Rattus norvegicus: one gene and its partner. The protein of the gene in region 2 purifies or fractionates together with the protein of the main gene of each other region. This does not show direct contact. Links are inferred from orthologs where the notes say so. Each region holds a gene or a part of one and is shown on either strand. Other genes may lie near its edges.

Region 1 (4,697 bases), about 86 Mb from region 2:
GAGTGCCAGAAGAGCACCCTGGCACCACTGCCCGTGGGCCAGGCTCTCAAAGGGCTACAAATGGTGGGGTAGGGACGTCCTCAGACCTCACATACCTCTGGGCCAAGGTCGACAATGACAGAATTAGGGGGCAGAGTTAGGATACAGGACTCATATCGGTTTGTGTTTATTCCTTTGTTATGGGGCAAGGAGGGCTGCTCTGAGGGGAAAACTAAAATGGCAGCAAATCTGATGAAATTTGACATATAAAGTAGGTCTGTCTCACATGTACAAAAGACTCATGCATAGAGCTACGGCTCAGCCCAGACTAAGATTCCTAGTCTAGGCTGAATTTGCTTAAACTCGGGATTAAGGTTAATAGGAAGGACTGGTTTTCAAATGAAGTACTGACTCAGCTTCAAGAAGGCCTGGACACAGGCCTTGTTTTGAGAGAACTCAGGGTGTCACACAGTTGATAGCTCAGAATGTGTCTCTACCTAAAGCTACTGAGAACACAGGGCTCCTGACGGGGGTCATCACTGCACATGGGACACTCAAGGCAGGTGTCCGACCTCACTCACTGTGGCTTCTGAATGGGGCTGCTTTTGAGAAAAGCCCAGTGTTCGTTTGTAACAATGGAAACCTTAGCTGCTCTGCTATTCTGCATAGCCCCCTGGGACATAAGACTGGACAGGAGCTGAGTGAACCTCTGCCTCACTGGGAGCTGCTTCAGCTAGGCAGGATCCTGGTTTCTGAAGCCCAAGGTCGTTGCTCCTGATTTCTGAGGTCACTCTCCCTGCCAAGGACTCCGAGCTGCCAAGCTCTCTGACACGCAGAGCCTGCTTGCTCACAGACTGCCTAGAGAAGCAGAAGGGAAATGGGGACTATGGCTGGTCAACATGCAGAGAAGAAGAGCAAGGGCAGTGACCTCTGGTTGCTTCTGACCGAGACAGAAGCCCCACACAGCAGGATTCTAAGGATGGCCTATGGCCAAGCCCAAGCCTTCTAATGGCCAGTGGACTCATGTTTGGTTTTCTTTCCACAGGATCAGGCTGTGGGGATGTCAGTCATAATCGCTGGCTTCATGGTTCCAGCAGGATGGGTCTTATCCCACTTGGAGAGCTATAAGAGAAGCTCCGCAGCATGAGGAGCTCGGCGCATCCCTGAGAGGCCAATTAAACGCTTCCAGTACCTCCTGCTCGTGTTGATTCTTGAGGGTGGCACTCATAACACCCAGTGCCTTAGTGATGCTCGGCAGCGAGTGTGGATGCCCGAGTCTGAGAGAGCACTGATAAGGACTGCAAGGAGGAACCAACGCCGCCTCCTTGTCTGACAATACAGGGCTCACTACTTTGGTGGCGGTCCTGTCATATAGTGACGGGGGAGAAGGCGAGCCCCCACCAACCTGAGTCCCAGCTTACATGCTCATTTTTTCTTTAGGCACAGGATTGGCTAAGAAGCTAAGTTCAGGAACAGAAGCACCAACAGAACAATGCAAAGGCATTTATTATAGAAGCACTCTCAGACCACACTGGAAAGGTCCACTCAGGTGGATTTGGGTGGAGACTACTCTGTCCCCATTCCCATTCATGCCCTTCCTCATCACCTAGGCCTGGAGCCCCCCTCCCACGGCTTGCGGGCTACAAAAGACCCCACACAGGAGCCTTCTCCAAGTAGTCACACCCCCATCAGTGACAGATCTCTGCATTTATAGCAAGAACAGTTCCCACTCCTAGCAGGATCCCAAACTCCATCCCAAATGAATACAGATCTCTGCTGATGGTTTCGGGGGTCACCTTGCAGGGTGAGGCAGGGTGAGGCGGGTCTGCAGGACCCTGGGGCGTTAGGTGAGGATGTCTTGAGCCTGGTGTTCTACCAGCAGCTCCATGCTCTTCACATCAGTGCACCAGAGCTCCAGACGGTCCTTCATCCCCTTGATCTAAAGGCAAGTCAGGATCACATGGGTGTCAGGCTGCACGGGAGTCTGTGTGGGAGTGCTAAACCTCTAATGCCTTTTGGGGAAATGCTAAGGGCGACAGAGCTGAAGGTGGGGGTGTGATGGAATCACCGTGCCAATTCTGATCACGAGGACATTCTAAAAACTCACATGAAAGAAAAAGAATGGAGGAAATCACAGGATTAAATGTCCGGAAAATATGATAGGGCGTGGGATCAAATCACAAAACCAGGAACATGTCTGTGCAAGCACCAATTTGAGGATTAGGAGGCAGCAGCAGCACAGCAGCACTGTTGTCACAGTAAGCCTGTAAGTGCAGGGCTCAGGCCTCAGGGCTGCTCCCCTAGGCCCCCACAGCAGTAATCCCATCTGCAGCACCTTGTGTGGGACAGTGTCCGCTTCCTAAGTGGCTTCCGTCCACATAAAACTAGGACAGCACTGGTGTACCCAAGTCCACAAAGGGCAGGGGCTCAGCCCCCTTACCTGCTGCAAATCCAGCACTCGAGGCTGCACCCACGTCATGTGAACCCGCTTGTCCACCTCGTCTATGCTGCCTCTCACCAGCCCCACCGAGAGTGCCTTCATCACCAACAGCTCCACCTGTGCAAGGGGCACATGAGACAAGCTGGGAGCACGGTGCTCGCTGAGACCAGGTCTCTGTTGGGGGTGGTAGCATTGCTGCTGCGAACCCCTAAGTCCAAGAACCATACCTTGTTGACAGTGATCTTGGCACTTTTGGCAATTTCCTCAAAAGTGAGTTGTCTGTGGTTGGCAGGCCGTGTGAACGTCATCTGAAAAAACAAAACTATTTTTCTAAGCAAAAGTGGTCATCAGAGAATTGGTTTTTTAAGATTTTTTTTTTGGGGGGGTGGGGAGTAGTCAGGGCTGGAGATAGGGCTCAGTAGTTAAGAGCACTGGCTGCTCTTCCAAAGGATCCAGGTTCAATCCTAGAGCCCACATGGCAGCTCACAACTGCCTGTAACTCTAGTTCCAGAGGATATGACACCCTCACACATACATACATGCCACATATGCAGACAAAACATCCATGTATGTAAAATAAAAAGTTTCCGGTTTCTAGCTGTTGTGAACATAGCTGAGCAGTGTTCTTGTGGTGTGGTGGATGGGGGTGCAGAGGGGGGATGGGAACAGGAGGGATCAGGTGTGGGGAGGATGAAGGGGGAAAGTACTCGGAGAGAAAACTGGAATGGGGGGTGGGCATCCCTGGGATAAGCTAGAAACCTAGAACAATGGGATCAATGAGGTGACCCTAGGGACTCCTAGCAATGGGGGGATATGGAGCCTGAACTGGCCATCTCCTGTAACCAGGCAGGACTTCCAGTGGAGGGACTGGGACACCAACCCAGCCACAAAACCTTAGATCCACAATTTGTTCTGCCTACAAGATGTGCAGGGGTAAAGGTAGCAAAGAAATTATGGGAGCAGCCAACCAATGACTGGTCCAGCTTGAGACCCATATCATGAGAGGGAGTCTACCCCCCCCCACCACTGCCCAGAGAGCCAGGGGCTGGATAGTCCAGAGAGCTAGGAGACAGAACCAAACATGAATGGTGCGCGCACACACACACTCAGTGTAATGATTCCTAACGATATTCTGTTGTACTCACAGATTGGCATGTAGCCCAACTGTCCATCAGAGAGGCTCCACCCAGCAACTGATGTTGTACAGACTCAAGAGTCAAACATTAAGCAGAGCTTGGGGAAATGGCAAGGAAATATGATGAAGACCCACAAATTACCCGACCTGAGCCCATAGGGGCTCAGAGACTGAACCACCAATCAGGAAGCCTGCAAGGGACTGACCTAGGCCCTTGCACGTTTCAGTTGTGTAGCTTGGTCTTCCTGTGGGACTCCTAACAATGTGAGGGGAGCAGGAGCTGTCTGAGTCTGCTGCCTTCCTCTGGGACCCGTTCCCCTGCTGGGTTACCTTGTCTAGCCTGAGAGAAGAGGAGGTACCCAGTGCTACCGCAGCCTGTCATGCCATGGCCTGCTGATAGCCATGAAGGCCGACCCTTCTCTGAAGAGGAAGGGAAGAGCGGATTGGGGGTGGGGTGGGGGGGATGGAAAGTATGGGGATGGGCTGGGAAGGGGAACTGCAGTTGGGTGAGAAAATAAACACAATTTATATAAATAAATATATGTGTATAGCCAGAAGTTGCAGTTGTTCTGTGGGGGTTTGGTTGCACACACCTTTAACCTCAGCTCTCACAAGACAGAGATAGGCAGATCTCTGTGAGTTTGAGACCAGTCGGGTTCACAGCAAATTCCTGGCTAGGGTCAGGATTACATAGTGAGAGGCTGTCTTATTTAAAAACAAACAAAACTCTGAAAATATAGATCATCTTATTAATCCTGTGTTCAAGTACTCAAGCTTTCATAAGGTAGTATCTACTGCAAACAAGGTTTCAATGCTCAGAGAAGCTCAAAGGTCCAAACCAACTTTGAAGGAACTTTGACAAGAACACTCATTCCTTGATGACAGCTGAGGCTGCCAAGTCCCTTGTACAGTGTTGAGCACTGTAGGAAACCGGAAATGCACTCGGCATTCTTCCACAAACTCATATCCTATTGGAGGACACAAAAGCATATGCGCAGAAAGGGTGTCAGGAAGTGAGTGGCAGGAGGGAGCGGCTTTAGGTTCACATGGGCAATGACAACTTACAAAGTGTCTATTGGAGCCTGTCTAAGAGTCAAACTCATGGGCCAGAGAGATGGTTCAGTGGGTAAAGGTGCTTGCTGC
Region 2 (5,419 bases):
AGGCAAGGTTTTACAAGGTTTCCTCAACCCCTTCATTTGCAATCAACTCTTTCTATACTTTTGTATATCGTAAAATCAAACTGACTCATGTTATGTATTCTTCATTTCTTCCAGAGTTTTCATTCTGAAGCTGAGAAAAAGATATTACTACTCAAGTAAACTCTACTGAAGTTAAAACTGCTACTACAGCTACTACTACCTATGACCATTATTTGGGTTCTAATAACTCTTAACAGAGCAACTAGAAATTATTACAGTCATTCAAAAACAAATAAAAGGAAGAAGCTAAGAGAGTAAAGACCACAAGCACCAAAATTCATATCTATTTTTCTCCCAGGAACAGATTTGGACCATAAATCTCCTAGCTTAGGGAAATTACTTTCAACAAAGGCTTTACCATTTCGTTAACAAAACAAAAGATATTTTATCTAATTGGGAAAAGATGACATTTTATATACTAAAGTCTTACAAATTAATATATTTATCAAATAATAATGCTGAAGCCAAACTTAATCTCTTTCATCAAAGAGTAGCACACTAGAATTATTAAATTAAACATTGAAGGTAGTTTAATTTTTTTATTTACATTGACAATATATCCCATACATTGATAATATGTCTAACACATAAATATCTTTACTATGATTGGTACATTTATTAAAGGTACCTATTCAACAGTAAGAGACAATATAAAATTCAAGTCCTCATTAATAGAATGGCTTCCAAAACATAAACCACAAAGCACTGAACTGTATATACTACAAAACTGATCTATGGACTGTTCTAGAGTATTGACACTTACTTATTTTATGATCTTCAATTCTTTGTTTCAAAAAATGCTCTATTTACTTATTAGGGGTGATGAAGCTATGGAGTTGAATGGATAACTGAATGAGTTCATTTTCTCCTTCTATACTGTGAGTCCCAGGCATGAAACTCAGTTACATGTACCTAGCTGAGGCAGCATGGCAATCCAAGTTCAATTCTTTAGTCTACTAAGAAATGTAAGAAAACACTAACATGGAGCTGATTTCTCATTATTCTAATGGAAAAAAATTATGGTATCTTCTTTGACCATTTCTCTTAACTATAACCAAAACACAGAATCTATCTATAATGAATAAACAGCCTGTTAGAAGATAATGTTTTATCTCCCTATCACTAAATTATAAAATTGGTTGGAAAGTGCATGTTCTACATATAGAACAATAAATATACATCCTGCCTGAAGGAGAATAACACTCTGGATCCACACACCATTGACTTGCAATGTCTTCTTTCAGAGCACATTCATCAAATGACACTGACATCTAGGAATACAAACTACTATTAATCAATACTTTTTCCAGGTAGTACTCGACTTAAAATGTTTAAAATGTTTATCTCTATCATCTGTCTGTCTGTCTGTCTCTGTCTATCTCTGTCTCTATCTGTCTTTCTCTCTTTCCCTCCCTCCCTCCCTCAGCCCCACCCCCTCTCTCTGTGTGTGTGTGTGTGTGTGTGTGTGTGTGTGTGTGTGTGTAAAGCAATGCAATAGAAATAAAAAACGTTATAATCTGGTTATCAACAAACAGGTAAGTAAAGAAACATTTTTTAAGATTCACCTGTACATTTTAATATGTGTGTTTTTGAAAACTGTTTGAGACATGGCTTCACATAGTATAAACAGACATATTGGAAATCAACACGGTCCTTCCTGAGAATCTGGACTACAATGCCACTAAACTCAGGTCCAAAACACTCTTAAAACATAACATTTTATACCATAAACAGTTTCATGCAAGAACAGATTTGTGATACACTAATTGATACCTACATATTTAATTAAAATTCAACAAATATATAATTATCATAATGAGAAATTAAGTATGATTAAGCCTGTGTAATTCCTAATTCAAAAATATTAAAGTAAATAAGTAAAGGCAATAAAATTTGGAGTGATCCACAAAAACAAGATGTGTAAAAAAGAAGCATACATGGGCTATAACTAGATAAATATACCAATTATATACTATATTTTTCCAGTTAGTCACATTCAACCATGGTGAAATATTATATTTCATTTACTGTTACTCTGTGATGTTCACTCTGTCGTAGAAACATGTATAATTGAGACATTGCAGCTTCTACATTCAAAATATTGATACCATTCACCTACTTATCTACAATGTGAACAAATTCATGAAATAGGACTGGTGTAGCCAAACTGAATAAATTATTTTTCTGATTTTTCTTTAGTTCAATTGTGAAACTAACATGAAATTCTAATATAATTTCATTTCACTAATTCCTTTAAACATGTTTCAAGTGACAGGGGCTAATCCGTAGCAATGTGAAACATTCAATTACCTTATTGCTAGTTGATAATTACTTCTATTAAGAAAAAAATAGACTGAAGAATCAATGAGGGAAAATAGAAGTTTTAAGAACTTTCGAAACATAGGACTATTTTTAAAAGACTAGATGCATTGGGGACCTAGCTCAGTTGGTAGTGCTTATCTTTCATTCATGAGATCTCCCTCAGTACCATATAAACAAAGTATGGGAATGTAAACCTTTAATTTCATTACTAGGAAAGTAGAAGCAAGAGAATTAAAAATATAAGAACAGTGTCACCTATCTTGAGCAAAACAAAAAGAAACAAAGCCCCACAAAAGCTGAGTAAATATTGGTAGGTTAGATCCCTAAGCAGTATGAGTACACCAAGTTCCTGAGGTAGAGAGCAGTATGTAAAAAGAAAATGTTAGAAGGAAAAAAATATATTATTCAGATAACTATTGCAAAATTTTACCCTGCTTTCTAAAAAAGGAAAACAAAGACTACCTTATACCTTATATTTGTATTTCTCCTTCTTTTACCACAGCCCCTGTAGTTCTGGACCTGATACCAGGTATTTACTGCAAATGCAATACATGTAGTAGATTTTTATGACCTAATAAGATATTAGCTACAATACAATCATTACAAATTGAGTTCAATCATTATCATATTAATTTTTAGAGTATAATCTGCTTCTGACAACTTCTGTATCAGTAAATATAAGAATAAAATATAAAGTAACTAAATACCTGTCTTTACCACACTTAAAAACAGTGGCTTTACTATACTATGATATCTTCAGGTTATAAAAACGCAAAAACCCAAAAACCACAAATTTAAATCTCTGAAATAGCTTTCAATTAACCATTTTGAATTTAAATATAGTCTCTTACCTTTAAACTCTTCCTTCTTGTTCATTTTTATCTCTGAGTTGTTAGATGCACCTTTTGAGTTCTCAAGGTAAGCTGAGCTTGCTCCTTTCTTGGAGGGATGAGGATCACAGAGTTTTGCATTAATTTTATAAAGCTCAAGAGCTTTAATAGCTGCTGCATTGTTATCCATACGAAGAAAAGTTGGACAGGAAGCACAGAACTCATTCGTGCAGGCCTCATTTCCACAGCCCTCAGTTAACTGATGGTAGTAGCGCTCTATTAGATGCTTTGCAGCTGCTCGCTTCCTGTACCAGACATTCAAACAATAAGCACAGTGATTAGTATAGCTCAGAAACAAAGCCCAACAGATAAGACAAAAGTTAGCTAAGCAATACAGCAATAAACTATTTAGATGTACAAACTGGAAATTGACTATTACCTCTCAAAGTGTTAATTAGTGAAATAAACACTTTCTAAAAAACCATAATAAGTATGTCAGCTTACAAAATTATTTTAACATGGTAGACTTTTCTTTGGCTTAAAAAAAGATAAGCTAAGGTGATGGTGTATGACCCTTAAACTGTATACCAGAACAACAAAAACAATAAAAACAGTAAGTTTACTATTACATCTGCATAGCAACTTTCCTTTTCATTATATATAAAAATCACTAATTCATAGTTCCAAATACTTGACTTCTGGTTAATATCAAATTTCTAGAGTTTATTTTTTCCCTCAATTAATAATCATGGGAGATTTAACAGTGCTTCACAAATTAACTATCTAAATCTCGTATTATGCCGAGAGAGAAGCACTAAGGCATATGACCTTGAACCCATACTTGTCACTAACCCTCTTCATTAGTTCTTATCCTAGGAAAGATAAAGTTTTTATTAGGGGAAACTCATATTCATCAACCTTATCCATGAAAATTAACATTTGATTAAGATATTTTTCATGTAAAGTAACCAATACAATTTAAGAAATAAATTATTTTACCAAACAAGTAATTGTTCTACATAATCTAAATCTAAAATTCTATTCTTTGAGATTACTGCAAAATTTAAGTAGAATTGAATATTTGGTCCACAGTAGTATAATTCAAAGCAATTTTTTTGGATCTATACAAGCATTGGACCTGCAAGTAGAAAGAATTCACCTAATTCCATTCTAAAACTTCATGCCATAATTTTAGATAGAACTAAGAGGCTAATGGCACTAGAGATAAACAAATAAGCACTGATAAGTGACTTTAGAGTCATTCTTTGCATGAAAGGTACTTATATTTAGAAATATTCCCTATATATTTACCACTCATAGTGTAAAGCCTGATGACTCAAGTTTGATCCCTGGATCCCACTTGGGGAAAGGAGAGAACTAATTACCACAAGTTGTCCTCTGACCTCTAAACACACCAAAACTTATGCCCAGTCACATATATCTACAGAAAATAAATGTAATAAAGTTTAAAATGTATCATGGAAGTAAGATATGCCACATATAGGAAAAGGTCATCAAAAGGAAGATATATTTCCTTATTATTTATAGAAACTACCATGCCTAACAATAGCAATCTGCTTCAATATACTGACAGCATGTACCAAGTAAAATAATTACCAACAGCCTTCCTATTATTTCCTTAACACAAGCCAGTGACCAAGTTATAAATGTAGTATGATTCTGTTTCAAAATATTAAATATTTTTCTAAATAATTAAGTTAATTCTTGCATGCTTTTCATCCTAACTACTTTATTTTCTATTACTATGTACTTAAACAATAAAAATTTCTAAGTGTCAGTAGGGAAGTTTCAACTTCATCTATATGATCTGAATGGGGCCAGATTGTTCAGGTTCATGAACAGGATCTGTAACTGAGCGAACTACTTACTTAGCCTTTCTGTGTCTCAGCTTCCTCATCCTTAGGATGGTGGTATATTTCAGAATTCTCATGATTTAAGAATTACAAGTGCTTAGACTATTTCGGTAGATTTTGGAAGAGGTAGGAAGAAAAACAGGAGGTGAAGATGAACAAAATGCATTGTATCATATATGAAATTCTAAAATAATTAATGGAATAGTATACCTGCTTAAGAAAAAAATATTACTTGTTAAATACTAAGCCCTATTGGTAAATGTCAGACACGATTGCAATTGCTGCAATTTCTATCATTTGCACACGTATATGACTTGGCCAAGAGAACTCACATTCCACTAAATCTCAGAGGAA

What was found. The genes of interacting proteins can lie anywhere in the genome.
Region 1: the proteins of Ube3a (region 2) and Psmd13 purify together in Homo sapiens (affinity purification with mass spectrometry; 4 studies listed by BioGRID and IntAct, with this or other methods). This does not show direct contact. The link is inferred for Rattus norvegicus from reciprocal best matches to the Homo sapiens genes UBE3A and PSMD13.

The regions. Positions count from the first base shown.
Region 1 is NC_086019.1:205,403,291-205,407,987, reverse strand, and holds the end of Psmd13 (26S proteasome non-ATPase regulatory subunit 13), read right to left. Parts: intron 2,728-4,697; coding exon 2,647-2,727; intron 2,537-2,646; coding exon 2,420-2,536; intron 1,919-2,419; coding exon 1,823-1,918; 3' UTR 1,463-1,822; downstream 1-1,462. Other genes in the region: Cox8b (cytochrome c oxidase subunit 8B, mitochondrial precursor), read left to right, coding at 1,025-1,126.
Region 2 is NC_086019.1:119,256,874-119,262,292, reverse strand, and holds part of Ube3a (ubiquitin-protein ligase E3A), read right to left. Parts: intron 5,168-5,419; exon of another isoform or gene 5,143-5,167; coding exon of another isoform or gene 5,081-5,142; intron 3,497-5,080; coding exon 3,213-3,496; intron 307-3,212; exon of another isoform or gene 115-306; intron 1-114. UniProt on the Homo sapiens protein: E3 ubiquitin-protein ligase which accepts ubiquitin from an E2 ubiquitin-conjugating enzyme in the form of a thioester and transfers it to its substrates.